Linked DNA regions of Cricetulus griseus. The protein of the gene in region 1 interacts with the protein of each later gene in a pairwise test. Links are inferred from orthologs where the notes say so. Each region holds a gene or a part of one and is shown in the gene's direction. Other genes may lie near its edges.

What was found.
Region 2: the proteins of Creb3 (region 1) and Bik interact in a two-hybrid assay, tested with the Homo sapiens proteins (2 studies listed by BioGRID and IntAct). The two-hybrid records come from large-scale screens. The link is inferred for Cricetulus griseus from reciprocal best matches to the Homo sapiens genes CREB3 and BIK.
Region 3: the proteins of Creb3 (region 1) and Gja1 interact in binary tests that used the Homo sapiens proteins (3 or more experiments, as listed by UniProt). The two-hybrid records come from large-scale screens. The link is inferred for Cricetulus griseus from reciprocal best matches to the Homo sapiens genes CREB3 and GJA1.
Region 4: the proteins of Creb3 (region 1) and Sft2d2 interact in a two-hybrid assay, tested with the Homo sapiens proteins (2 studies listed by BioGRID and IntAct). The two-hybrid records come from large-scale screens. The link is inferred for Cricetulus griseus from reciprocal best matches to the Homo sapiens genes CREB3 and SFT2D2.
Region 5: the proteins of Creb3 (region 1) and Synpr interact in a two-hybrid assay, tested with the Homo sapiens proteins (2 studies listed by BioGRID and IntAct). The link is inferred for Cricetulus griseus from reciprocal best matches to the Homo sapiens genes CREB3 and SYNPR.
Region 6: the proteins of Creb3 (region 1) and Slc30a2 interact in binary tests that used the Homo sapiens proteins (3 or more experiments, as listed by UniProt). The two-hybrid records come from large-scale screens. The link is inferred for Cricetulus griseus from reciprocal best matches to the Homo sapiens genes CREB3 and SLC30A2.
Region 7: the proteins of Creb3 (region 1) and Sfxn3 interact in a two-hybrid assay, tested with the Homo sapiens proteins (2 studies listed by BioGRID and IntAct). The two-hybrid records come from large-scale screens. The link is inferred for Cricetulus griseus from reciprocal best matches to the Homo sapiens genes CREB3 and SFXN3.

Annotation. Positions count from the first base shown.
Region 1 is NC_048595.1:99,953,772-99,957,942, reverse strand, and holds the start of Creb3 (cyclic AMP-responsive element-binding protein 3), read left to right. Parts: upstream 1-1,371; 5' UTR 1,372-1,531; intron 1,532-1,618; 5' UTR 1,619-1,627; coding exon 1,628-1,774; intron 1,775-1,861; coding exon 1,862-2,018; intron 2,019-2,099; coding exon 2,100-2,170; intron 2,171-2,288; coding exon 2,289-2,378; intron 2,379-4,171. UniProt on the Homo sapiens protein: Endoplasmic reticulum (ER)-bound sequence-specific transcription factor that directly binds DNA and activates transcription. Plays a role in the unfolded protein response (UPR), promoting cell survival versus ER stress-induced apoptotic cell death.
Region 2 is NC_048595.1:380,436,301-380,439,565, forward strand, and holds part of Bik (bcl-2-interacting killer), read left to right. Parts: intron 1-1,553; exon of another isoform or gene 1,554-1,926; intron 1,927-2,224; 5' UTR 2,225-2,229; coding exon 2,230-2,396; intron 2,397-3,265.
Region 3 is NC_048595.1:253,063,391-253,067,428, reverse strand, and holds the start of Gja1 (gap junction alpha-1 protein), read left to right. Parts: upstream 1-1,238; 5' UTR 1,239-1,415; intron 1,416-4,038. UniProt on the Homo sapiens protein: Gap junction protein that acts as a regulator of bladder capacity. A gap junction consists of a cluster of closely packed pairs of transmembrane channels, the connexons, through which materials of low MW diffuse from one cell to a neighboring cell.
Region 4 is NC_048598.1:27,202,258-27,205,757, forward strand, and holds part of Sft2d2 (vesicle transport protein SFT2B), read left to right. Parts: intron 1-155; coding exon of another isoform or gene 156-220; coding exon 221-256; intron 257-353; coding exon 354-412; intron 413-2,117; coding exon 2,118-2,147; intron 2,148-3,500. UniProt on the Homo sapiens protein: May be involved in fusion of retrograde transport vesicles derived from an endocytic compartment with the Golgi complex.
Region 5 is NW_023276807.1:171,601,859-171,605,358, forward strand, and holds part of Synpr (synaptoporin), read left to right. Parts: intron 1-237; coding exon 238-429; intron 430-3,500. UniProt on the Homo sapiens protein: Intrinsic membrane protein of small synaptic vesicles. Probable vesicular channel protein.
Region 6 is NC_048595.1:18,946,983-18,949,933, reverse strand, and holds the end of Slc30a2 (zinc transporter 2), read left to right. Parts: intron 1-1,839; coding exon 1,840-1,974; intron 1,975-2,305; coding exon 2,306-2,451; downstream 2,452-2,951.
Region 7 is NC_048596.1:16,519,535-16,523,787, reverse strand, and holds the start of Sfxn3 (sideroflexin-3), read left to right. Parts: upstream 1-1,453; 5' UTR 1,454-1,592; exon of another isoform or gene 1,593-1,631; intron 1,632-2,806; 5' UTR 2,807-2,809; coding exon 2,810-2,970; intron 2,971-3,408; coding exon 3,409-3,579; intron 3,580-4,070; coding exon 4,071-4,169; intron 4,170-4,253. UniProt on the Homo sapiens protein: Mitochondrial serine transporter that mediates transport of serine into mitochondria, an important step of the one-carbon metabolism pathway.

The DNA of each region.
Region 1 (4,171 bases):
TGTGGCCTGAAGTTAGTCTGTCGTCTCTGGGTAAAAGAAGCCTCTCTGATTACACAGCAATAAGGGACCTCACCCCAAAACAAAGGCAGCTACTTGCTGCCAACTTCTCATGTTTTTTACCTGTTCAACTGTAGCTGCAACCCTCAACCCCTAATGCTGCCACCAATTCCTAACATTAATCCTGACTTTAATTTCTTTCCTAATTCCCCATTCTGACATTTCATCTCTTTCATAGCAGACACCCATACTAATCCAGCTTTTAATTTTAGGCCTAAATCCCTCAACTTTTACCCTAAATACTGACTCCTAATCCTAAAGCTCATTTTTTACTTGCTTTTAATTCACCTTTTCACTGTTTATTCTTAATACTAACCCTGACAATGGCCTTTAGTACCTAAACGGGCTTCTAAGCCAATTCCTGTGGTTGATCCTTAACCTGATTCGGTATCCTGATCATGCTGATCCCTCCAGAAAACAAAATAATGACCTCAAACTAAATGTCACCTACACGAAACAGACTTGACTAAAGCAGCTAATGTTTAAAATTTACTCGAGCTTCGTAACCTCTGAAGGGATCCTCACTTCCTAAACCCGACCGCACCTAATCCCAAACTCACCCAAAGCTTTCCTAACCACATACTCACTATCTGCTAACACCAAAGGCCATCCCCGCCCAGTGCCTCAATGCCACCCCATTCCTCACCCTCCCCCCCAAACCTAGTCGAGGGAGAGAACAGCCTGCTCCCACGAAAGGGGCCTGCCTCGCGACACACGGCTAGCTTAATTCCAAACCCAAAACGAAACGCATTGGACGCTGACCTCCCCAACAGGACCGGACACAGGATATGCAGGAGGATCGGGGGCCCCGCCCGCCGCTTCCCGGGCTGGCCTGGCCCCGCAGCCCCACCTAGAAGCTCCGGCCCGGCCCGCCTGGCCTACCTGCGCTGCCCGGCTCTGCGCCCCGCCCGCCGGCCCGCTACCCGCTCGTTCTCCGGGTGGCTCTGGGGCTCCGGCCTCGCCCTCCCTTCGACACTCTGGTCCACTTCCGTCCTGGAAATGTCTCCCACCCGCCGGCGGCGCCCTGGGCCCGCGCTCTATGGTCGCAAAGACTTCAGGAAGCTGCTCTAGCCGCAGGTCTCGATGCTCGGGCGCCCGCAAAGCCTGGCCGCCCCTCCCCGGCAGGAAGCGAGGGTGCGGCGCGCTGGAGAGATCGCCCGAACCAAGCTGGTGTTCCCTTTTAGACTCTTCCTTTTTCTAGCTCGCGGCGAAGGCGGAGCCGGGTCCCTAGAATCCCCGCCCTGGGGTGTGGGAAGCTGTAGGGACGTCCCTATAATTTGCATAGCCCCCGGGACGTGGCGCAGCACACGAGCCACTTCCGAGTTGGAAGGAACTCCAAGTCCCAGGATGCCTTGGGGCTATGTGCATCACTTCCGTTGTGTTGGAAGCTGAGTAGAACAGAAGCTGGGAGGTGGCTGTGGTTTTAGTGTGACCGCAGGCCTTCAGCCTTGTAGCCCGGAGTAGAGTGACTAAGGTAAGTCGAGCCGATTTGACAGTCAGACCGAGGGGTCGTGTCTAAGGTTCGGAGATTGCATCTGTGTACAGGGATTTCTATCTATAGATATCCCAAATGGATCCTGGTGGTCAGGACCTTCTAGCTTTGGATCCTGGTGATCAGGACCTGCTGGGCTTCCTGCTAGAGGAAAACGGAGATTTGTGGGCTGCGACCGAGCAGGATGTGGAGGCTCCGCTGGACTTGGAGCTGCCGCCTTCCGAGGTGGGTGGGCGTTCTGAGTGGGGAAGCTAAGCGACGTCCGTGAGACCCAAGGGTACAAAGATAAATCAAGGCCTGTGAATTTGTTAGAACTCTGTGCAAGCACTGAGCGACTGGGAGGTAGAGGATTTACTGAGCTCTCTGCTCAGTCCCTCGGCATCGCTGGATGTTCTCAGCTCCTCCATCTCTTCTATTCGACATGACCACAACTACTCCCTCCCACAGGAACATGTGTCCATAGATCTAGGTGAGTGTGGAATGTTAAGTTATGGGGGAGGAAAGAGCTCACTGGCCTAGCTAGCCCTACTTTTTTCTCCCTACTTTGCAGATATTGGGAGCTTTGAAAAGGAGGGGTTCCGCGTGACTCCAATGCCTGTGGGGGATACAGTTACAGAGCAGGTACTGGACTTGAGTTTTCAGGATTATCCCACCTTTCTCGACTGAGGCCAAGGTTCCTCCCATTCTGCTCCCACATCCCCATGCAACTTTTGCTCTCCACTATTTCCTACAACCTTAGGAGATTTCTAGGCTGATGCTGACTGAGGAAGAGAAGAAGCTCTTGGAGAAGGAGGGGCTTAGTCTGCCCTCAGCACTTCCTCTCACAAAGGTAAGGTTCCTATTGGTGGAGTAAAAGCTGGAGGGGCAGCCTGGCCCCTTCCAGCACTTGGGAGGCAGAGGCAGGTGGATCTCTGAGTTCCAGGACAGCCAAGGCTGCACAGAGAAACCCTGTCTCAAAAAACAAACAAAACAAACAAACAAAAACAAGCAAGCAAACAACAATGACAACAACAACAACAAAACTAGAGGGGGATTACATGACCCAAGTAGGCAAATTCAGTTTATTTCATCTCAATAACTTGAAAAAGGACTGAGGTCAGAATCTAATCTAAGCACACTTGCTGCTATTGGGAAGCTGGGGCAGGTAGATAAATAGGCTAGATTCTAGGGCAGTTCTTGACCCTGTAGGGCTTACCTAAATTGTGGTGTTCCTTTCAAAATTACCAGTGTGTGGCTTAGTTGGGAAAGGCCCTGCTGCCAGGTCTATCCCCAGGACTCACATGATGGAAAGAGAGAACTGACTCCTACGAGCTTTCTGATCTCCAAACAAGCCCACACCCACATACAAAAATATAATTTTTGAATATCAACTAACATGAGAATAGAGCCTTGAGAAGGACGACAAATGGAGGGCTCTTACAGATTTCATTGTGGTCGTGGTACTCCATATCTTGCTCACGGTAGAGTTTGGGAGGCTGAACCAGTCTAACAATAACAGTTGTCAAAGCTGGGCATGGTGGCTCACACCTCCACAGTCCTAGCACTCTGGATGCAGAGGCAGAAAGGTCCTCACGAGTTCAAAGCTACTTCCTGAGTGCTGGGCTTACAGGCATATACTACTACATCTAGCTTTTATGGTAAACATTTTTATGTCATTTGCCTTTTTAATGTTTTCATGGTATCTTTTGTTATGTAGATGTTTATTTAGGGCAGGAGAATCAGGAGTTAAAAGGCCAGACTTAGCGTCATGCCAAGTTTAGGCAAGCAGAGGCTACGTGAGACACTGTCTCCTATCCCTCTGCCACCATTACAAGATGAGTGAGCGATACAGTAGTTTTAGTAGGAAGGAAAATAGAATTTGGAAATTATCATCAGTGGTGCTGTCCCTAGTACAGTAACTGTCTTTTCCTCCTTAGTCCCCCACCCATTGAGATTTGAATAAAGTGCTCTAACACTGAGCTACAGCCTGCAGCCCTGTTTGTTGAGAAAGGGTCTTGTGAGCCCAGGCTGGGCTGGCCTCAGACTATGTAGTGGGTAAGGAATGCCTTTGAATTGATCCTCCTGCTTTTAACTCCTGAGGACTAGATTACAAGTGAATGACATCATTCTTGGCTAGTGCCTAGGCTGTATCAGAGAATATGAGAATTAACACTTTATTTAGTTTCAATTTCTGAAAAAAAGTTGAAGTGCTTTAAAGTAAAGATATGTTCTATATAGCCTCAAAAATTCTAAGTAAATCCTACCGATAGAAATTATAAGAAAATTGATGTTGATTTTAGGATAAGGATGGATTTTTGTTATTGTTACATAAGACATAGTCTTATGTAGCTCAGGCTGGCCTCAAACTCTAGCCAAGGATGGTCTTGAAGTCCTGATCTCCTCCCTCTCCCCGCCAAGTGTGGAGATTACAGGCATGTGCTACCACACCTAGATTAGGAGGAATTTGTTTTTTAATTAACTAAATTAGAGGCTGGAAAGATGACCTCAGTGGTTTAGAGCACTTTGTACTCTTTCACAAGGCCCAAGTTCAAGTCTCAGCACCCATATGACAGCTCACAACTGTTTGTGACTCCACTTCCAGGAGATCTGACTCCCTCTTCTGACCTATGTGGGCACCAGGCA
Region 2 (3,265 bases), about 280 Mb from region 1:
CTCTTTGTTGAGACAGAAACTCTGGACGGGTATTCTTTTTCCACTTCTAGAAGGAAGAACAATGCTGTCCTTATATGGCTTCTCAAAACCTGGCACTCACCACACCCCCATACCTGCTGTGGTAGCTGATGATGTCACCTCGTGTGCACTTGGCTCCTTGATCACAACCATTTGGGGTGCATTGCTGACAGTCATCTGCCTAAGGTCAGCCCTGAGACACCTGGAGGGTCCCAGCTTATGTTCTAACTCCCTGAGAGCCTAGGCTTCCAGCCATCTCTTTCTTTAACACAGGGAATGATCAGTGGGACACTTCAGTGTTTAGCCTTGGGTGTCCTCAGGAGGATGGCTTTGTGCAATGTGCCTGCAGTCAGTCCATTTTACAAATGGTCACTGGTCTGTCTTGGCCTAGGGATGGGAAGACTTGGGTCACTGTCCATCTTAGCTCAGGCATGAACTTTTCCAAGACCTGGTGTTCTTTTTGAACAGAAAATCATGTCTAGGTTGATTCTTGTGTGTCAGTTTGTGTTGCTAGGGATGAAACCAAGGTCGTGAGCATGCCAGACAAGTGCTCTGCCCATAACCTGGTTGTTGGGAGGTGAAATAAAGGCATCCACACACACTCTGAACACAGCCTAGTGCAAGGTAGGGAAGCAGGCTCAAGCCAGCATGGCCTGTGTAGTCTCGGGATGGGTGCCAGAGAGTTTTGGATTTGAGATATCATCTGCTTATATATAATGAAATATATTGAGGGCTGGAGTGCAGACGATGGCTGTTGGTATCCTCAACACAGACACAGAAAGCCAACCCTGGCTGTGCTTACCTGCAATCATAGTTCAGGGGCAGCCGAGACAGGAGAATCTCTGGGGCTTACTGTCAATCAGGCTAGCAGAAATGACTCCAGGTCTAAGTGAAGGACCCTGTTTCAAAACACAAGGTGGAGGACAATCAAGGAAGTCACCAACATTAACCTCTGTCCTTTTCATGCACACTTGTACACACACACACACACACACACACACACACACACACACACACACACACACGAGCTGTCTTGGAGTTGAGGTCAGACTCTCCCCGTGAAATTCAGGTACCTCTCCTATACACTTTCACATATGAAGTGAAGGTAATTTATGTGGAACATTAAGTGATTCTGTACATGGGACAGAGTTCCTATACTCTGAACCATCACACATGTGTGATGTTGGGGCCCAAAGTTTTGAATTTTGGATTCTTATGTAGAGCTGCTCAATGCCACCCACTTTTTTGTGGATTTTCAAGACAGGGTTTCTCTGTGTAGCCCTCACTGTCTTGGAACTCACTCTGTAGATCAGGCTGGCCCCAAACTCACAGATATCCTCCTGCCTCTGCCTCCCGAGCGCTGGAATTAAAGGTGTGTGCTACCACCAACTCGAATTTAAAAACAAAAACAAAAAACCAAGGTCTCTTGTGTCACACTAAGGTTTGGCTGCATTGGAACTTTCTGTGTCCCCTTGAATTCCTGCTTGTGCACCAGCATTTGAGTAGGGCTATTAATCCAGATCCATACTATCATTGCCTTGATGTCATGGACCTAAGGTCACCTGGTTCCATGTGGGTTTCACTATGGTGAGTCAGTCACAGAGTCCCACCCAGCCTGCCTCAGTGGAGATGGAACCATTACTGAAATGTGAGTCACCACTGTGGGGGGTTCCAGAAGTCTCTGTCCACAGGAATTGGAAACTGGGAATTTGAACCCTAGGCAGGGCATGGCTCCCAGTCCTGCAGTTGCTTGGGCCAGGCTTTCTCTACTGCTCTGTCTACTGTCTCTGACTGGCTGCTGCAGTTTGGGCCCTCACCCCTACATTCATGACAGTCAGAAGGGGAGCTGCCCTGTCCTTGACTGTTCCCTTTTTTCTTCTATTTGAATTGTAACTTTATTGCAAGATGGTATTAACTACTTTTAAGTTAATAACTTGTTCATTTTAGTTGGGCAGCAAAAGTTGCTGCAAATTGTGTATTCAGAAGTAATCACAAGACAATTTGAGATGCAGAGCAAGGATCAGTGATACCTGTTGGGGGCAGAGGAGGGTCAGGAACATTGAAATTCCAAGACCTCACAGTCCCCATGAGCTCCATTGTACCCTGCATGCCAAGTGCCTATTTTGGTCTGGTGTTCTAAGCCCTAGTAGCTCCCATTGCATAGTTCTGAGCAATTTAGTCATACTGAGCCTATTTTATCCCACAGAGGACATGTCAGAGGCAAGACTCATGGCCAGAGACCTCATCATCAAGACTGTCCTGCATGACCAGGTGCCCCGACCTCCAGTGGCTCCTGGGGCTCCCAGCATGAAGGAGCCTGTGGAGGAAGAAAACAGTTCTATGAGAGACTTGGACCTCGTGGAGTGCCTGGAGAACAGGTAGGACCCACTGACCAGTGCCCTCCTCTGGACATGGCTTGAAACACCTTCTGTATAGAGCTAGAGTGGGGTGGGGGTTGAGGAGGCTCCACACCCCACAGGGTTCCTGACAGTGATTCTGGGGTCTCAGGACCATCACACTGCAATCTGGACCATCTAACTTCACTAGCAAGAGGCATGTTTGTTGTTGCCACTATGTCCAGATAGAGAAGGCAAGGTCCCTTCCTTCTAAGGCCATGAGACCCACTGCTCACTTCCAGCAGAAAAAGAGTAGCTACACCGGTCATGGTGAGTCCTGCACACAGGCAGGTCAACACAGTCTCTCCATGTGTACTCTCAGCTTCAGGGTTCTCTGTTACTCTGATTGTGGAGGTAAGATGGGGCTGTTTGGATGCCTGTTTCCTCCCTTCCTGGTCCATTCCTGAGTGAGGTGAAGCCTGGGGCAGTATTTTCCTGGGGTCTCCCAGGTAGGACCAAAACTTCCCAACCCAAGCCAGATGACCTTCCGGGCTCCTGGCACTGTTGTCACCACTGTTAGAATCAGGAGTAGACCTGGGACACTGGATCAGTGGTGCAGGTGGCCAGGGCTGAGCTGGGCAGGACAGACAGCCCCTGAGATCCCCTCTGTAGGGACTTTCCAGTGAGCTATTGAGTCACTGGTGTGGAATGTTCAGGCCAACCCCAGAAAGGGCTTAATCAGGCTGGTTTCAGTGTGTGTATGTCTTAGTTAGGGTTTCTATTGATACGACAAAACACCATGACCAAAGAGCAAGTTAGGGAGGAAAGGGTTTATTAGGCTTACACTTCCATATTGCTGTTTATTACTGAAGGAAGTTAGGGAAGGAACTCAAACAGGGTAGGATAACTGG
Region 3 (4,038 bases), about 150 Mb from region 1:
ATTTCAAACAGTCCTTAGTCATTGCAGTGAGAAGATACTTGGGGAAGTATTTCCCAGGAAATCTTTGCCATCCTTCTTTGGTCTGTATCTGTATTTGTGTGAAAAGTTTAGCATGATCAAATGGATGTCTGTACAAAGGCCAAGAGGTTTCCCTGTCCAATACCAATGAAGCCTGTTTATGGCACTCGTCCTACCACAAGCCCTCTTGGAGGATGTCTGGGAGCCCTCAAAGAAGCTACTGATCTTAGGAATGAGGCCACATGACTTAAGCCTTCAGAAACCCCATCAGGTCTGAGGAGAGAGTTTGTGGAGAGGCAAACAGTCACCAGGTTGGGCTTCCCAGGGACATGATTGAAAGAGCGGATGAAGGTTTCAGAGCCACTTTAGGCAAGATAATGTATCTGACAACTCTAGTCTGCAGTTGTAAAAAAAAAAAAAAAAGAACTCTGACATCTCACTGCAAATTTAAATGTTAAATTGTTGGCCTGAATAGGCCTGAGATATAAATTTTCACTTCCTTGGAGATCTGGTAGAGGTCACTATCAACACTTCAGTCAAAAATTATATACATGATATATCATAACACGTTTCTTCTTGTGCTTAGTTGAAAGAATACGTAGAAATACCTAACACAGTCCAGAGGCTGAAAGGGTAGACATACCCCTACACACATCTGGTTGTGAAATGTCTTTCCCATGCCCACCGTTTCTTTCCTTTGTTAATTGTCCATGTTTAAGAGCAAGAGAATTAGGTCATAAGAAAGATCACTCACACCCACCTCAAGCTTCACACAGCTTGGGCAACCCAGAACAAGTCCGCACTGGTTAGCGTTGTCTCCCCCATTTTTATTTGTTGTACTTTTTGTTTTTGTTTTTTTAGGTTAGAAAATGTAACATAAAAGTACATATCCTCACTGTCCCTGGTCATCTGGTGAAGCAAGCACTAGACTCAACAGTATTTAATCTGTGAGAAGTCACAGCCAAGTGGTGGTGGACGTAAATCTATCTAGGGCTGTTCTCTTTCTTTTTTTTTTTTTTCTTTAGCGTGTTCAAACTACAACTTTATCTTGACCCTGGCTGCTTCTAGTGCCTGCTCAGCCCCACGCTCACCAGCCTTCTCCCCACCTCCTCCCCGCCTTTTCTTCCTCCCTCCCCTTTCTCCTAGCCCCTCCTTCCAGTTGAGTCAGTGGCTTGAAACTTTTAAAAGCGCTGTGCTCCAAGTTAGAAAAGCGCTTTTACGAGGTATCAGCACTTTTCTTTCATTGGGGGAAGGCGTGAGGAAAGTACCAAACAGCAGCAGACTTTTAAACTTTAAATAGACAGGTCTGGGAGCCTGAGCCCTCCTTTTCTTTGACTTCAGCCTCCAAGGAGCCTCACCGCTTTGGCGCGCCGGCTTCGCTTTCATTAAGCGAAAGAGTAAGTTTTGAAAAACTCACTTTACCTTCTAGCGTCTTTTTCGTTAAGGAAAACTCTTCTATTGTGGTTTATAAATGCCTTGTCACCTTTTGACTTAGGGTACTGCAAGTAGAATGACGGACTTCAAAGTGCCTTTAGTTTCCACGTGCTGATTTATATTTTGGTCAAAAGTTTTCCCGACAATGCAACAGGTAAAAGCCTCAAACTTTTCCAAGTAGAGTGAAGAGCCAAGTTACTGAATTTGGCTCTTTGTTGTGCAGCCCTATTTTACTTTTCTGTAGTTACGAATGGCGTAGGTCTTGCGGGCGGGCGGGGGGGGGGCAGTTGGAGGGGGCTCTTGAGTTGGACTTTTCAGTCGAGTTTGCTTAACGTGCTTCCTATAGTGTTGTAGACTGCGTGCTTCTTTTTCATATGGAAATACTGGCCGCCGTTCCTTAGCCTTGAAAAAGCGTACCCCTTTTGTGACGGGGTGCTTTGTTGAGACGCTGCGGCTACTTGACTTCCACGTGGTTTCTTCTTAGACTTTTCAGGATTAAGCCAGAAGATCTGAAGATCAGGGTGCTGCCGTTGGGGCTTTTAGAGCAACACTAGTTACTTTGTCCAAGCCAGCGCAGTGCTTCGGGACGAACCCTGTAGCACGCACAGCCAGCTTTTCACTCCACCACGCTGGCAACTCCGGGCAGGAGAAATCTTGAATGGGTGGTGGTGACTTACGAAGCGTTAAGAGGAGAAACGGGCGTTTTAGAGACTGTGTGTGCCAGGATGCTTTTTCAAAATCAACTGCTAAAACACGAGCTCCTAGAAGGAATGGGGGGAAAGGCGTTTTTGAAGCCGCACTTTAGAGCGAGCTACCTCCCCCCCCCACCTCCCCGCGCCGCGCGCGCCCGCGCTCCAGCCTGCTTGCGCAGACATGTAGCCACTTAGGAGCTGTTGGGACAATTTTGAGTTGGCGCTGTCAGGGTGCTAAGCACTAGGCAAAGATGATGTTAAAGTGCAGTTTAAAAGGGTTCCATCTTAAAGCATTTAAAAAATTATTATTGGTAACACGTTCTGTAAAGCACTTTGCCCCCGAGTTCATTCTGTCCCGCCTAAATCCAGCCCGAAATAATTCAAGCTGAGTCTGTATTGAAGTGGTTTTTGTTGTTTGTTTTTTGTACCAGCTGAGGCCGAGAGTGGAGCAGAAGTGAAAGCTTTGGGGAGGCCGGTTGCGCGCCCTCCTGCCATCTTAGCATCTTGAGCTCAGCTCTCCGCAGCCTCCGGGCTTCGCGGTCCAGACCTCTGCCCCCGAAGGGGGAGGGGAGACGGGCCCGCTTCCCGCCGGTCCAAGAGCAAGAGATCAAATTCATCACTAAGTTGTCAGTCTAATACCTCCCCATCCACGCTGCCCTTTCTCACCCCATTCTCCCTAAACTCGTCGGGTAGCTGGGTGCAGCCCCTGGGAAGGGCCCCTGAATACCTAGGGAGTCCCAGTGCTGGTAAATGCACTTGTAACACTCGGGGAAACTCTTGAAATTCCCTAAGAACGAGGCGGGGCGGAAGAAGGAGGGGCAAAGAAGACCCCTCGAGAAACCGAGCCACAGCTACTGACGTGTGCTGAGGCAAATCCGCTCAGGATTGGGAAATTCAAACCTTGAGTTCCGAGCAGAGATCTCCTGTTCGCGCCCTCGGGTCCACCCAACGCTCGCCGGGCACGTCTGGCAGAGTCTTGGACGGCACTCCCCGGCCCGCGCCCGGAGGCGAGCTTCCCTTCCCTCCCGGTGCTGGGTTTCGGGTGGGCAGAGAGATCGAGATCTTAAAAACCTACCCGGCTGTGTTTGGAGGTGGGTTTAATTTCCTTTGTTCCCCAAGCAAAATATTAGTGATTGAAAGTGGTGAATCGTGCCAGTCCAAAAGACCACTGGGCAACCTTGAACAGCCAGCAGTGTCCCATGAGGAAGCCTAATGGTGATTTTTTTTTTTTTTTTTGAGAATAGCTGAAAATAAAAGCCTGTGGAATAAAATATGCTAATGAGGACCTAGAATACCTTTGGGGCAAATGAGTTGATTCTGCTTAGTAGGCCAAGTTGAGTGAAAATGAGCACAATTCCAGACTGTACATTCTGTCCTGGTGAGGTGCTGAATTCTGAATTACTGGACTGTCTCCCCAGTGTGTAAAAACCACCGTCCTTTGCCTGCTGCTCCCGATGGTAGTGCTTTGATCTCCCGCTGTCTTAACGCATACCACGTTTTTATAATGACTCTCTGAGGCTCTTCAACATCACTGCCCCACCGTCTCATCCTTGGCAGTCGGGCTTTTTATCCCTCCATGACCTTCCATGGGAAGTTTGTTTCTAAAGCCGGCAGTTGCAGGCAAAGGAAGGCTGCATTTCCTTCCGGATAGGGAGCGGCGTTTGGTCACTTAGACGGCTCCAATCCTGACACAGAGAGAAGGGATGGCGGACACTGTGTCCTACTTTATTACCGTATGCAGAGGTGTAGCTCTCCGTGTGAACTGTAGAAACTTTTTATGCCCCGGGGGAAGGGAATGATAGAAAAAGTCACCCACTGATTAATACCTGTGACTCCACCTCCAAGCTTCTGTTTGACTTGTGATATGTTGAGGCACATCCTGCTCAGCTCAGGA
Region 4 (3,500 bases), on another chromosome or scaffold:
CTGTGGCCAGCTTACTTTTGTGTCTTGGATGAAAAGATTGGTCCAGAAAGGTGCTTTCATTTGCCGACATTTAGGGGGGACTTGAAAGTGAAAGCACGTCTTTCCCTGTCCAGTCTGCATGCATTTTTATTGTTGAGCTGGGTTTCTTTTTCCAGCACGGCTGTTCAGATGGGTCAAGTGCTGTGAATCACACTGTACTAATCAGCGTTTCTTCTTCCAGTTGTGTTTTGCACTTACCCTGTGTTCTGCCTTTTGGGTAAGTGTGAACTTTAGTCTTCTGTGATGTTTGTGGTTTATATCCCTTGTCCCTTGTCACACACACAGTAACTATGTTTTTTTTTTCTTTCTTCAAGTGGCATAAAAAGGCACTAGCGCTCATCTTCTGCATTTTGCAGTCTTTGGCCTTGACATGGTAAGTAATATCAGGGTCCTTCCTCATAACCAGCCCTGCCTTTGACTTGTGGTGGGAAAGGAGAGAAAACCAGCGTGTTGTGGGTGGGAAGGTTAGGAAAACAGAAGCTCTTGAGTTGAAGAGTTGTCGGTGATGCAACAGAAGTCAAGCTTCTGAAGCCAGCCAGGTGACTCAGGCCACCCCCAATAAATGGCATTAGCGGTCTTGAGTGGTTACCAGAGGCCTCCAGCCACAGCATTTTTGCTGAACTCATGGTCAGTTGTGAGATGTACAAATATTACTCAGCTACTCATGTCCGGGAAGTGCAAGCTCAATGAAAGCCTGGTAACAAGAGGCTAGGCGTCAAATGGACACTTCCAGAGAAGGGTGCTACCCAGAAAGTCAGCGATTGCCACAGAGTGACCATTTGGGAGAACGACATCGAGGGCATGGCCAGCCAGGATGAGAGGGCAGTAGCCGGGGAAATGGAAACCCATGTGGATGTGGGGTCAGCATCCTCACTGGAGGTGGCGTGGCCTTGGGGAATTACAGGTGAAGGTTAGGAGATTATAACTAAGAAGCCAGGTATAGTAAAAAGGTGACCAGAGACATGGCTTTTTAAAATCATGAATGGAACTGTAAGTTCTTGGCTATTTAAACCTGTGTAAAACATCCAAGGGAGAGGAGTGGTGGCACATATCTAATCCGTGTGTTACTTTACAAGTTTAATCCATGAGTAATGATGTTCAGTAGAATAGTTTCAGTACAGTGTGACTGTTCTGTTTGGGATAAAACTGTCTGCTAGGATACAGAGAAAAGGGAGGCTGTGGGCATTTTAAATAAACTTCTGGTCGGTGAACACCTAGTTGGTAGAAATGGATCTTGGGAATGCAAGCTTGATCCCATCTTCCTTTTGGAACTTGGACCTTCTGAAGAAATACTCTTGTCTAACTGCCTTTCAGATGTTACCATGTTCACAAGTTAGCGAATGCGTGTGAAAAGTGGGAGGTATGGAGAAGGATGGTGACCTGATTTTAATATGGGATACATTTTGCTATTAGGTCCTACAAGGGCCTGGCTTGATAACTTGTGTTTGTACTCTGGCTTTCTTCTGGCTGTATAGTACCTACATATACATAGTTCTTTTGCAAGCCAGTTCCAAGGAGTCAGCACTCTTCTGGGCCCAGGAAAATGGGGATTCCCTTTGAACTGATTCTTAAGTCTGACCAACTTACACCCTGACTGACAGACACACAGGGACTGTGTCTCTGTCCTGCGTGACTTTCTTATAGGCAGTGTGGCTTGGGTTCTTGAAGCATTGTACCAGGGTGCATTCTCATCTATAGATTGGTAGGCAGTGGCTTTTTTTTTTTTTTAATTAGCGGAACAGATAGAGCATTGATCTCACATGGGTTGATGTTGAATTCTCTTGAGAATTTACAAAGCATTAGATCACACCTGTTGAGGATTTTATTTGCAGTTTCTGTAAATAGGACTCTGGCGCCATACGGGCATCTGGAATCTGCCCATTTTAGTTGGTTACTGCTGGCTTGTGAGGTTAAGCAGCACCACAAGCAAGGCTGGGGCCAGAGGGCTTAATGTTACACTATTTACGGGATGTGTTTAGGTGATGTGTGAGTGCATATGGGTAGAGCCTAAGGGCTTGCTTCAGGGAGTTTTCCACTCCCTCCATTCAATTTGATCTTTGCTTTGTTTTTCTTTGTAGGTATAGCCTTTCCTTCATACCATTTGCAAGGTAAGACTGTAACTATGTATTTGGAAATAGGGATTCTTCCATTTGTGAACCATGATATGTTTACATAGGACTTTTAATTTTTAAGAAAATGAATTTATTTTCATTTTAATGTGTATTTTGCCTATATGCATATTTATTTGCTATGTAGGTGCATTTTCTTGTGCAGGTTAGAAGAGGGTGTTGAATCCCCTGGAACTGGAATTAATGGATGGTCGTGAGCTGCCATGTGGGTGTTGGGAATTGAACCCGGGACCTCTGGAAGAGCAACTAGTGCTCTCTAATTGCTGAGCCATCTCTCCAGCTCCTGCATGTGGACTTTAGTTTGGAGATGTTAGTTTAGTTGCAGAAAGTACATGTTATTTTATTTGTCTTTAAAATTCTTTGATCTAGTTAGACACAGGTTGGACATCTGCTTTATAGGTTACTATGATAAGGGCCATGGTTCTCCTGATGTCATTGTTCAACTAGTAATGTGTTGGCAGACTCTGAGTTCCTAGTGTTTGGGGCACTCAGCTCTAATAGAAAGGACATTGATGCACACCACCATTCCTTTAATCTGTAGCTTTGAGATGATAACTTGACAGGTGATCAGTGTAGTGTAACTAAACAAGAGTATCAGGGTCCTTAGAGCCTGCTTGTTTTCCTACAGGGCTCACACAGGGATTGTTTTAGAAGAGTCTAGAGGGGAAGCAAGGCCAGAACTCTAGAGGACCAGCACTTCCTAGTTAGCAGTGTGAGCTTGGTGACTTTACCAACCACCAAGACCTCAGATGAGACATCGATAATTGGAGTGCGTGGGGCTGGTTCATCCCCAGATGCTGGGAGTTTGTTAATCACTTTTGGTGGGCTTTTCCCAGTTAGTCACAGGACCTTTGCCTCTGATTCTATTCTAATGAAGCCACTTAATTTCATTTTTCTCAGTCATCTACTAAGTAAAAATATTTTCCATAATCGTGTGGAGGAAATGAAAAATTGTGCAGAGGCTGGGAGAGAGGGCAGATGTTCTGTCTTATGCTTTGCAGATCTGCTGTTGCCAGTGATCTGAATGCGCTGGGAAGCAAGGCTCACAAGCTCATAGAGCGTCCCTTTGTGCATGGGAGTATAACCTTTGTGAAATACTGCCTTGGGGGCAGGGAAGCTAGCTTGCTATGTGAAATAAGCATCTAATGAAGTAGTTATCAATTTGGCAAAAATTTGACCATATCTTGTAAGTCCCTAAACTATTTACATAATTTACTGGGCCCAGCATAAAGTGACTACCCCTTAATGATCTCAGTGCGTTCTGTGATTGGCTGATGTAAAAATGCAGCAGCATGTACTAGTCCCCAGGACCAGTCTGCAGGGTAAGTGGGC
Region 5 (3,500 bases), on another chromosome or scaffold:
TTTCAATAAACAAAACTAAATAACAGTTTAATTATTTATCTCATGTAAGTATAAATACAACATCAACAAACTTTATTTATTTTACAGTATCTCTAGGTCCTAATGTTGTGGATCTTAGAATTTTCAAAAAACCAAATGGTATTTGCATAAATTAATAGATTTGCTTCTGGAACTCACATCTGTTTGTTTGCTGTTTGTTTGTTGTTTTTTTTTTTTTCCTGTCTTCTCTCTGTGCAGGATTTTATCGTCACTGTCGTCTTTTCATTCTTGTGGTTGGTTGGTTCCTCTGCTTGGGCAAAAGGACTGTCTGATGTCAAAGTGGCAACTGATCCAAATGAAGTCTTGTTACTGATGTCAGCTTGCAAGCAGTCCTACAACAAATGCTTGGCTGTCCACAGCCCTGTCATGTCCAGCTTAAACACATCCGTGGTGAGTATTTGTTCATCCAGGCTTGACTTCCCAAATCTTAATTGATGGTCAGTGATTAAGAAAAACACCCCAAAGCTACTGTATACATTTCTGCCTTTAAAACTAGGCCAATCAAAAGAGGGAAGTCTCACTGACTGGTAAGATGATATTTCAGCCTCCAAGATTTTCAATGTCAAAACCAACACACTGTAATGTTTCTGATTACAGTTTTTAATAAAAACCCAGCAGGTATTAGCAGCTGTGGCTAAGATGACAGTCAAGTGAAAATTCTAAGCTAAAGCTGATATAAAGCCTAAATGTTAAGGCTGAAGCCTGCCAGAAGTTAAAAAGAATATTTGTTAACTCATGTTTCCTGGAAGAGAACATTTTATTAAAGCCACACATGGAATATACCAAATTGGTTGGAGAAAAATATGCAGACTTAGTAGGGAGCAAGAGGAAATGCATGGCTTGAAAAAGGACTTAGAATAATCCTGTATCTTCTCCCTTCTTCAGTATAGCTCTTCGATAGCCTTAGAAAATATGTGCTAAATTGGCTGAACAAAATCAAATATTGTCATCAAGAATATAGGCCTTACAGGAAAGTATGAATGCCAACAGTTGGAGAGAGGCTAAATTGTATTTCTAATTTATACATGTAAGCAATTGTGCTACTCCACAGGAGGAAGCTGCATCTGATAAAGAGCTAGGATGTTGACAAAAAGAAACATTTACTGAGGAGTGGGAGTCTCAGCTGTGTTCATTAAAAGTACACCATCCAGCAAAAGTGAAGTATAGTTATCTTGGCTGCAACATTAACCTGTGTCCCTGAGGCTTTCTGACATTCAGTCAGGGAAAGGGGCTACAAAGAGGGCAAAGGTTGTTCCACTCCTCCTGATTTCTCTATAAATCTTGTCTTGGTGAAATAGCAACCATGGAAATCCACTATGCCCTGGATCTCACAAACATTCTTACATATTGCTGGCCACACTTGTGAGTGGCAACTTGTGAGTATGCATTAACATATATAGTGATTTCTGTAGCTTATTTGTAGGCAGTGCCAAAGACATAATTATGACTCTCATCTCAAAATCTAAGAAAATAAAAATTGCTTGACATGTTTAACAAATCAAGTAAATGATATTTGTCAACTGCTAGCTTGGTAATGCATGTCCCAAGTAACTTATGACATCCCACCTGGCCTTGTCATTCCACTAATGTTCTAATAAAGTTTAGACTAGAAGGTAGGACTTAGAGATGAGGAATAATGTGTTCTCCTAACCCTAACAATAATGTGAACATATGGAAGGAAAGGCCTGCAGGGTTGTCATTGTGTCCCTGACAGCCAAGGCTTTGGTGGTTCTAATAGAACAGCTTGTTCAGATAGATTAAAGCAAAGTTTACAGTATTCTTTAGACCCTTGTCTGGAACTAGTGTCTGTACTCATTCAGATGTCTACATTGTAAATAGAAGCTGATCCCAATTTTTTCATTAAAATGATAGTTTCTGGAAAGATACCATGAACCTGCTGAGATCTGAAGACATGAGAGTGGAAGAAGCTAGAGCAGGTCCTCAACTCCTGATGTCAGAAAACTAAAATACTGTCTCTCTGAGTTGCTGAGTAGTGGAAATTTTACCTACCCTCCCATTTTTCTCCTTCAGTAGAAAAGTTCCAGGGCAGACCTCAAGCTATTGGACTAAAACTTCACACTGCAAGGAAATGAATTGTGTATTACTATCACAGGAGGAAGGATATTAATCAGTCAACTCAGGTTTTTGATTTAAAATTGTGTTTCAGGCAGCGAAACCCAAAAATAATGAGAAAAACTAGAAGTGTTCCCCTAGAGTAGAGTCTATGGCTGTAAGCTGGAAGATAGTCCAGAGACTGTATCTTTCCCATTCTCTACCACTTACCCTTGGGTGTGCACCTGTTGAAAGACACTGTTATATTAAATTCCTTTTCTAAATAGAATTTTAATTTTTTCTTGAACATATGGGAGAAGGTAGGTACCTTCAGTTTCTAATTGTGTCTTTCCTTTCAAAGAAACAGCTTTGGCCAACCCAAAGGCTCAGTGGGTACAGGTGCTCACTGACCAAGTTTGGTAACCTTATCCCCAGAATTCGAAAAAAGGATGAAGAGAACAGACTCCACAAAGTTGTCATCTGACTTCCACATGCATGCATGCACACACACACACACACACACACACACACACACTCAGAGAAATAATAAATAAGTGTTGTTAAGGGAGGGGCACTTAGACTGAACTGATATCACTCAGATCCCGTTACAAATGTCTGAATGTCTGGTTGAGAGCATCCCATTGGCCCTTTCAGGGACAGGTATCCTTCTCAGTCTCATCAACTATAACTATAGGCTTTAGGAATTGTATATTCAAAACATGGCTCACAGAACTCACCCTGCTGGTCAAGTGCAAGTTCTGAAGAAGGAACCATGCCCTACACATACTATGCTCTGTGATCTCTGCAAAGAAATTGGTCAAGAAACAATAAATATTTTCTACTGTGGTAATAAAATTATTTTCTTTGCCATTGTAACTTCACAGTAGCCCTAAAATAAGGTGAGGTATCAGGACATTACAGATGCTGGAAGATGATTTTAAAGATCCTGGAAAAGGTTTCTGGATTTAACTACACTAATGGTAGAACTGAAGCCAAACTCTCCTAATACTGTTAGTACTCAAAAGAGCTGAAGGCACACTGCTGGAATAGTCTCCAAGGAGGGGTCTGGTTCCACTAGGTGACAGTGTAGTAAATCCTTTACGAACAACAAACCAGCTCATGCCACCATCAAATCTCCATGCCACCATCAGAAAACTGTAGACAATTATGCAAGAGGCAGCAGACTCTGAGACTGCTGAGAGAAGATAATGCATGGAAAAAACACTTAGCATGCTGCCCAATCTGTGGAAAATGCTGATTAAGGACCACATTACCCAGAGTTATATCTCATTGGTCAAAAGCACATTCCTTTGGGTGAATGATAAGGGCAGAGCCCTTTACCATGGCAAAGTTTCAAGGATACAGAAGAAATGCTCTGATCAGAGCCTGGTGGCACAGTGCCCAGTGAC
Region 6 (2,951 bases), about 81 Mb from region 1:
CTCCCACCCAACTCTAGGGTTACTGGCGAGGACAAGTGGCCTTTTTTTTTGTTTTTGTTTTTCTCATGGTTGCTGGAAACCTGAACTCATTTAACCCACTGAGCCCTCTCCCCAGATCTGGGACTCTCTAATTAGACTAAGCTGGCTGGCCAACCAGTCCCAAGGCATCTGCCCATCTCTGCCTTTCCTGTCTGGGATTACAAGTGTGCACTAACGTGTGTGCATGGGTACATGCGTGTTTAGTTCTGGGGTATCTAACAGGCCTCTAGCACCGTTAGCAGCTGAAGTATCTCCCCAGCCTGACTTTGGGGTTCTCTCTCAGCCTGAGGCTCACCAAGTCTAATCTACCTTGGTGCAGATGTTTGGAGAACCACTGCATTAGGGTGCGAGCCCGTGTCTGGGACCTTTAACGGACATAGGTCCTCAGAGCTCTGAGCTGATCAGATAAAGGTGTGCCAATTCCTAGACAGGTTCCAGCCAGCGCTTGCCCTCCCCCTAGGCCCAGGGCTGCCTCCTCCCTTGGAGTGTGTGTTGTCCCTGGCTGGTCACATGGCCTTGGTAACACCTGGAGCCCCACCCCTGCCCTCATCATCAGGTGACTTTTCTCAGGAAGATAAGGATTTGGTTCTAGTGTTGGGTTGTTTTTGTTTTTTGTTTGGGGGAGGGACCAGGTTTGAAATAGGTCTCTTTATGTAGCCCTAGCTAGCCTGGAACTCAAGACCAGGTTGGCCTCAAAGTCTTGCCTCCCAAGTGGTGGGTTAAAAGCATGGACCACCACATCTAAGAACTAGGAACTTTTTTTAAATTTATTTTTGAGACAGGGTCTCACTATGAAGACCAGACTGACACCAAATTCACAGAGAACTGCCTGCCTCTACCTTCCTAGTGCTAGGATCAAAGGGTGCTGGGAACTGAACCTTGATCCTTTGGAAGAGCAGCAAGTGCTCCCAAACTCGGAGCCGTCTCTCTAATCCCCTGTTGCTTTTTGTTGTTGCTTTTTTAAAATTTATTTATTAGGTATACAGTGTTCTGCCTGCATGTATTGCCTGCAGGCCATAAGAGGGCACCTGATCTCATTATAGATGGTTGAGAGTCACCATGTGGTTTCTGGGAATTGAGCTCAGGACCTCTGGAAGAGCAGCCAGTGCTCTTAACCTCTGAGCCATCTCTCTAATCCCTTGTTGTTTGAGATGGCCTTGGCCTCCTCAGTGTTGGAAGTGCAGGTGTGCACCATCGTAGTTGCTGAGTGAACCCACACCAGCTCAGTTCTTTCCCACAGGTCTCAGGGCCCATACCCTCCCTGTTCCTGCCTCAGCTGGTGAATGATGCCTGGAACTACCACTCTAATCCACAGGCCTAGCTCACACTTTAGGCCTTGGCTTAGGCCCAAGCCATGGCTTTCTAAAGGGTCAGGGACAGTTGGAAGAGAGTGGGGTACTAGCCTGGGCTTGGCAGGAATATTTAATTTCAAAGCTATCTTCAACAAGATGACTGGCCTTGGAGGGTCTGGAGGGGCCATACCTGTAATCCCAGCACCCAGGAAGTTGAAGAAGCAGAATTTTGGGTCGGAAACCAGCTCAGGGTACATAGCAAGACTTTGTCTAAAAAACAAAAACATTGACCATATAGCTGTGAACAAAAGAGACTCATGCTCTGTTTCCATTCTAGACTCAATAGATAAATTCGTGAGATCATTCCACTTGTTGTAACAGGACAGAGTGAGGGATGGGAGCACCATATGGAACCTGCTGGCCAAGGAGGCCTTCTGAGTAGATGGCCCTGGAGGATAGAGTGGGATGGGAGGGTAGTGTCCTTTACCATTGTGCTTTCTGTCCCCAGGGACTCCCAAAGGTGTGGACTTCACAGCCGTGAAGAATCTCCTGCTGTCCGTGGATGGGGTGGAAGCCTTGCACAGCCTGCATATCTGGGCACTGACAGTGGCCCAGCCGGTGCTGTCTGTCCACATAGCTATCGGTGAGTTAAGGTGAAGAGAGAAGCAGCCAGGGGCCTGGGGCCATTCCTGAGGGTTTGCCAAGCTCCGGCCAAGTGCTGAGCACTGAAATGCCCTTTGATCCTTCCAACTGCGTTTATGGAGGAAGATAACTGAGGCCTTGTTTGGGGTGGTCAGATCACTTGTACAGGAGCAAGGGGGTGAGTGGATGAGGGAGACAGATTCAAGCTGTAAGGCCAGTGCTTTTCTTGCTCTGGGCTCGCCTGGTACAGGATAGACCCTGGCACTTCTTGTCTCCTAGTCAATTCCCCAGGGGTAGACATGGAGCCAATCATCCCTTGTTTCTCTTCCCAGCTCCGCATGCTGACCCCCAGGCTGTGCTGAAGGTGGCTAGGGACCGCCTCCAGGGGAAGTTCAATTTCCACATCATGACCATCCAAATTGAGAACTACACTGAGGAGATGAAGGACTGCCAGGAGTGCCAGGGCCCCTCAGACTGACCATCTGGCCAGACACCATCGGAAACATCAACGGTTTAGCCAGGACTCTAGGTTCCAGGCACAGCCTGGTCCATGCCAGTGGGACTCTGTGGCCTCCTGTGAGCCCACAGGACCAGGATGAAGCCCATGAGGCCATACTTTTCCAGGGATGTTTGGGCTGGATCTTCAACTGTCATCCTCACATCACAGCTGGGATGGCACTAAGGCATAGAAGGAGGACCTGGGGTCGCCTGTACTAATCCAGGGTCTTTGTTACACATTACTGGGAAGTTGGCTCCCTTTTGCATAGTCAGTTTCTTTGATAAAAGAATTTTGAACTGGACTCAGAGGGATCCTTCAAAGACCATGTTATTACAATTTGGGAGAAAAACACACACACACACACACACACACACACACACACACACAGGCCAGGTAAGCTGTAACTCTCAGCAGCTGCAGGGAAGAGGAGGGAGAAAGAAGGCCACACCTTTGAGTTAGGGTCGTCAATGGAGTTGTGT
Region 7 (4,253 bases), on another chromosome or scaffold:
TGTGTGTGTATATATGGGTAGGGGCTAGCCTCCAGAGCTAGACTTCAGGACCTGGGACAGCTGCAGCCGAGCTTGCCCCCACCGCCACCCCCAAGTGACCGCTAGGCTCCAGGCTGCAGCTGTGGAGATAAAGCTGCGAGACTCTGTCCCATGATTGGTGATCTGCTAGTGCAAAACCAGGGCCCGCGCCCTCCAGGGCATCTCTGTGACCCCCCCAAAACAGAGTCCTCACTGTAGGCCCTCCTGCCCCTCTACCTCTAGGACTCGGCCCACTCACCTGGTCGCTTGTGCAGACGCCCGCGCGGGACACTGAACCAGCTCGGTGCGGCTGCGGGAATGAGGCTGGCCTGCACGGTCCTGGGATTCCATTGGCTGCCGACGCCGCCAGTCATTCTTTTCTGGCATCTTTGGTAGCCGCTCGTCACCTGCCTGGTACCTCTGGGCTCTGCCCCCCTAATTCTGAACCCCACAGGTCTTTGGAATTTAGGGTTGCCCTGGAGCCTCGCATTGGCGACTAGAATCACATCTTCTCCAGGCCCCCCTAGCTTCCTGGGCTCGTGAAGTTGCCACCTCTTTCGTGGTCACTCCTGAGGTCTCTGTGGGAGAATGTCACAAGCAAAAGAGCCGAACGTGAACCCGAGATGATCAGGAACGAGTGGGAGCCTCGGTGTGCAGCGGCCGTGCTCTGGGTGCTAATGGGTGAAGTGTGTGTGTGTGTGTGTGTGTGTGTGTGTGTGTGTGTGTAATGTCTTCTTCACATTCTGAGTTGAAAAATTGTTTCTCTGGGCGCCCTTTTCTGCAAAGTCCTCAAGACAGAGCAGCTGATGCCAGCACACAAGGAGGAGAGGAATCTTTCTGATGCACCAGCTTGGATGCAAGAAGCAGAGATGACGGGAGACTCTGGCCGTGCATATCCCAGGGGTTGTAGCTGCAGTCTGTGCACGGATAAGTGTTGGGGGCGTAACGACACTGCTGGCACAATGGAGCTGGGGGTTGGGTGACAAAGAGGACTGGGGACTCAGAAGGAGCACAGGCACCACAGGAATGTGGCTGGAAAGGGATGCGAATGGTGAGGAACTGCATAGATCCTGGAGTACCAGCCCAGGGGGCCAAGCACACAGAGGCCCATTGCCAAGGCAGCCATCAAGTAAACAAGCAGTAACCCGAGTCCCTCCAGGCGGCGCACCATCAGAGGCCCGCCCTCCACGCCGCTCACCCGTGCCCAGTGCACCTAGACCGGGTGCTGCCGGGTCGGGTGCCTCCCTAGGCAAGCCAAGGGACTGCAAGCGAAGGAGACAAGTGGGGCGGCTCCACCCCTCCTCTCTCTGGCTGGGAAGGCGGCCAGAACTGTTCCCACGACTGGGTCGGGTCTGGTCTCAACGGCCTGGTCTGGGGGAGTCTCTCTATACGACATCCACTGCCCCGGAATTCTGCCAAGCCGGGGGCGGGTTGGGAGAACGAGCCTAGGGAGCCTCCGCCCTTCCCTGCTGCTCAGCGTCACGCGTGACGTCCCGGTGATGGATGGGAGGAAAGCAGAGAGCTGTGAGGAAGGCGGGTCTGAGAGCTGCTAGAGACTGAAAACCCCGGAAAGCGTGAGTGCTTGCTGCCTTGGAAATCATCAGAGAGTAGGGGTGAGGGCCTGGGATCTGAGGAGGAGGCTTGCCTTGAAAGGAGCTCTCTGTCTTGTGTGGATTTCGTATTGCAGGGTCTGTTAGGATCTGTAGGTCACAAGGAGGGGGTGGTTGGGTGAGGCTGTGTGTAGGCATATTTCAGATGTCTGCACCTGTGTGTGTGTGTGTGTGTGTGTGTGTGTGTGTGTGTGTGTGTGTGTGTGTGTGTGTAACGGTATTCTTACCGTTGGCTGGTTGGCTAGTGTATACAGTGTGGGTCTAACCTGTTTGTGTGCCGGGGAGGGTGCGCATGTCTTTGTGTGCGGGTATGTTGAGTCGGGTAGGGGCGTTGTCTACTGTGAGGGAGGAAGTGGACTTGGAGGGGATTAGTCATTCTGCAGGATTTTTGCCTAACGCAGCCAGATGGCTGCTCCTGGCATTCCTTTTTGTGCTGGGTGGAGGGGCATCCGCTTAATCTTGCCTTTTCCTGAGGCGGATGGCTCAGAGAGAGTTGCGTGGATGTCTGTGTCAGCCCTGTTCAACTAAGGACGGGGAGAGTCCTGGGTTTTTGTGCAGGAGTTGAAGCAAATGGGTTTGAAGGGGATTGTGCGTGCTGTCCCATTCGCTAATGGCTGCCCCTTGAGCGTTCTCTCTGAGACCCCTGGAGCGTTCTCTCTGAGATCTAGTACTGATCAGCCCTCAAGTGGCTAATGATCCCGGTCTCCTCCAGTCAGGGCCCTGAGAGTTTGATGGCTTTTGTCGTCTTCCCAAACAGTCTTGGAAGTTTTTTGTTTTTTAATCTAGGTTTTAGAGCAGCTGGGACCTGAAACTGAAGTGGGCTTGGGTGTGTTATCCAGGTTCCTACAGCAGGAGCTCAAGATAGCTGCCCGGATTAGTTGCTGCTGTTGAATCAACCACACAAATGCAAATCCTCACCGTGTAAAATCTGCACCAGGCCAGCCTGAGGAAAGCTATATAGACTCTTAGTTCTGAACTTCCCTCCTCTCCTCAGTGGCTATAGGTCCCTGGCTAAAACACTACCTGGGACACAACTCCTCCCCCACCCTTGCTCACCTATCTAGAGTCACCTTGAGCTCTTTCAAGGACTGGCCATAGTTTCTGGGACCAGGGCAGAGCCACCAAAGTTTCCCCAAGTGCAGTCCTTGGACCTAATCTTTGTTCTTGCTGCCTTGCAGAAGATGGGTGACTTGCCCTTGGATATCAACATCCAGAGACCTCGATGGGACCAAAGCACATTCCTAGGCAGAGCCCGGCATTTCTTCACAGTAACTGACCCTCGCAATCTGCTGCTGTCTGACGACCAGCTGGAAGCTTCCCGAAACATTGTGCAGAATTACAGGTGAGCAGCCTCTAACCAGATGACAGTGACACAGCACTTCAGTTCAAAGGAGTTTAGGACATTGCGCTGAGGAGTCAGCATTGGATTTATGGGTAGGCAGCAGCTCTGCAGTTCACAGATCCCCTTTAATGACCATAGACAGGCAAAACTCTTCTCTTCAGGAGTTAAATCTTGGATGCCCCTAGTCATTTCAGACCCTTTGAAAACCACCCTCACTGTGATCCTGGAGAAAATGTGAGACCAAAAAGTTTGTAGAAAGAGCAAAGTTCATGCCTGAGAGGCTTTGGCCTCCCCCACGGACAAGGAGCTCCTTTACTCTAGGCTTGAGTAGCAAAGTTCCTAGTCCTTTGCCCAGAGTTCCCTGAGGCAAGCGGCAGAGACAGGAAGGGCAGGTCTGACCCCTACAACAGCCTGTTGGTTCCTTGCCAATTCCTCCAGGGCTGGTGTGGCAACCCCAGGGCTCACTGAGGACCAGCTCTGGAGAGCCAAGTATGTGTATGACTCTGCATTCCACCCGGACACAGGGGAAAAGGTGGTCTTGATTGGCCGCATGTCAGCCCAGGTGCCCATGAACATGACCATTACCGGATGCATGCTCACCTTCTACAGGCAAGTCTCGCCCTCGTCCCCTTCCGAGTGCTGTGCTCCAGAACACGGTTGGGTAACCAGCAGTCTCTCTTCCGCTGCCTTTTGGGCAAAGAACAGTGTGTGTGTGTGTGTGTGTGTGTGTGTGTGTGTGTGTGTGTAAGAATTCTTTCCATTTTTCACAACCCAGCCTTCACTTGTGTAAGCTGAACCAGTGAGGGCGACAAGGGCAAGTTCTGGGACCATCAGTTAAGTCACTCTCGAAGAACTCTTAGGGTTTCAATATTGGGAGTTCGGGGGGCTGGAGAGATGGCTCAGTGGTTAAGAACACTGGCTGCTTTTGCAGAGAACCTGGGTTCAAGTCCCAGCACCCACATGGCAGCTCACAACTTTCTGTAACTCAAGTTCCAGCGAGTCTGACTCCCTCCCACACACATAATTCAATTGTGGGGATTCAAGAATGGGGGAATAGTGTGGATGGACAGAAATGAGTAGTCTATCTTCTCACCCCCCAGGAAGACGCCAACTGTGGTGTTCTGGCAGTGGGTGAACCAGTCCTTCAACGCTATTGTGAATTATTCCAATCGCAGTGGGGATGCTCCCATCACTGTGCGGTGAGACACCCTCCCCAGCTGTTCCTGGTCCCTGTGGACCCCTGTGCCAGGGGCTCAGCTCTCCTTTCAGCTACATGTTCGACC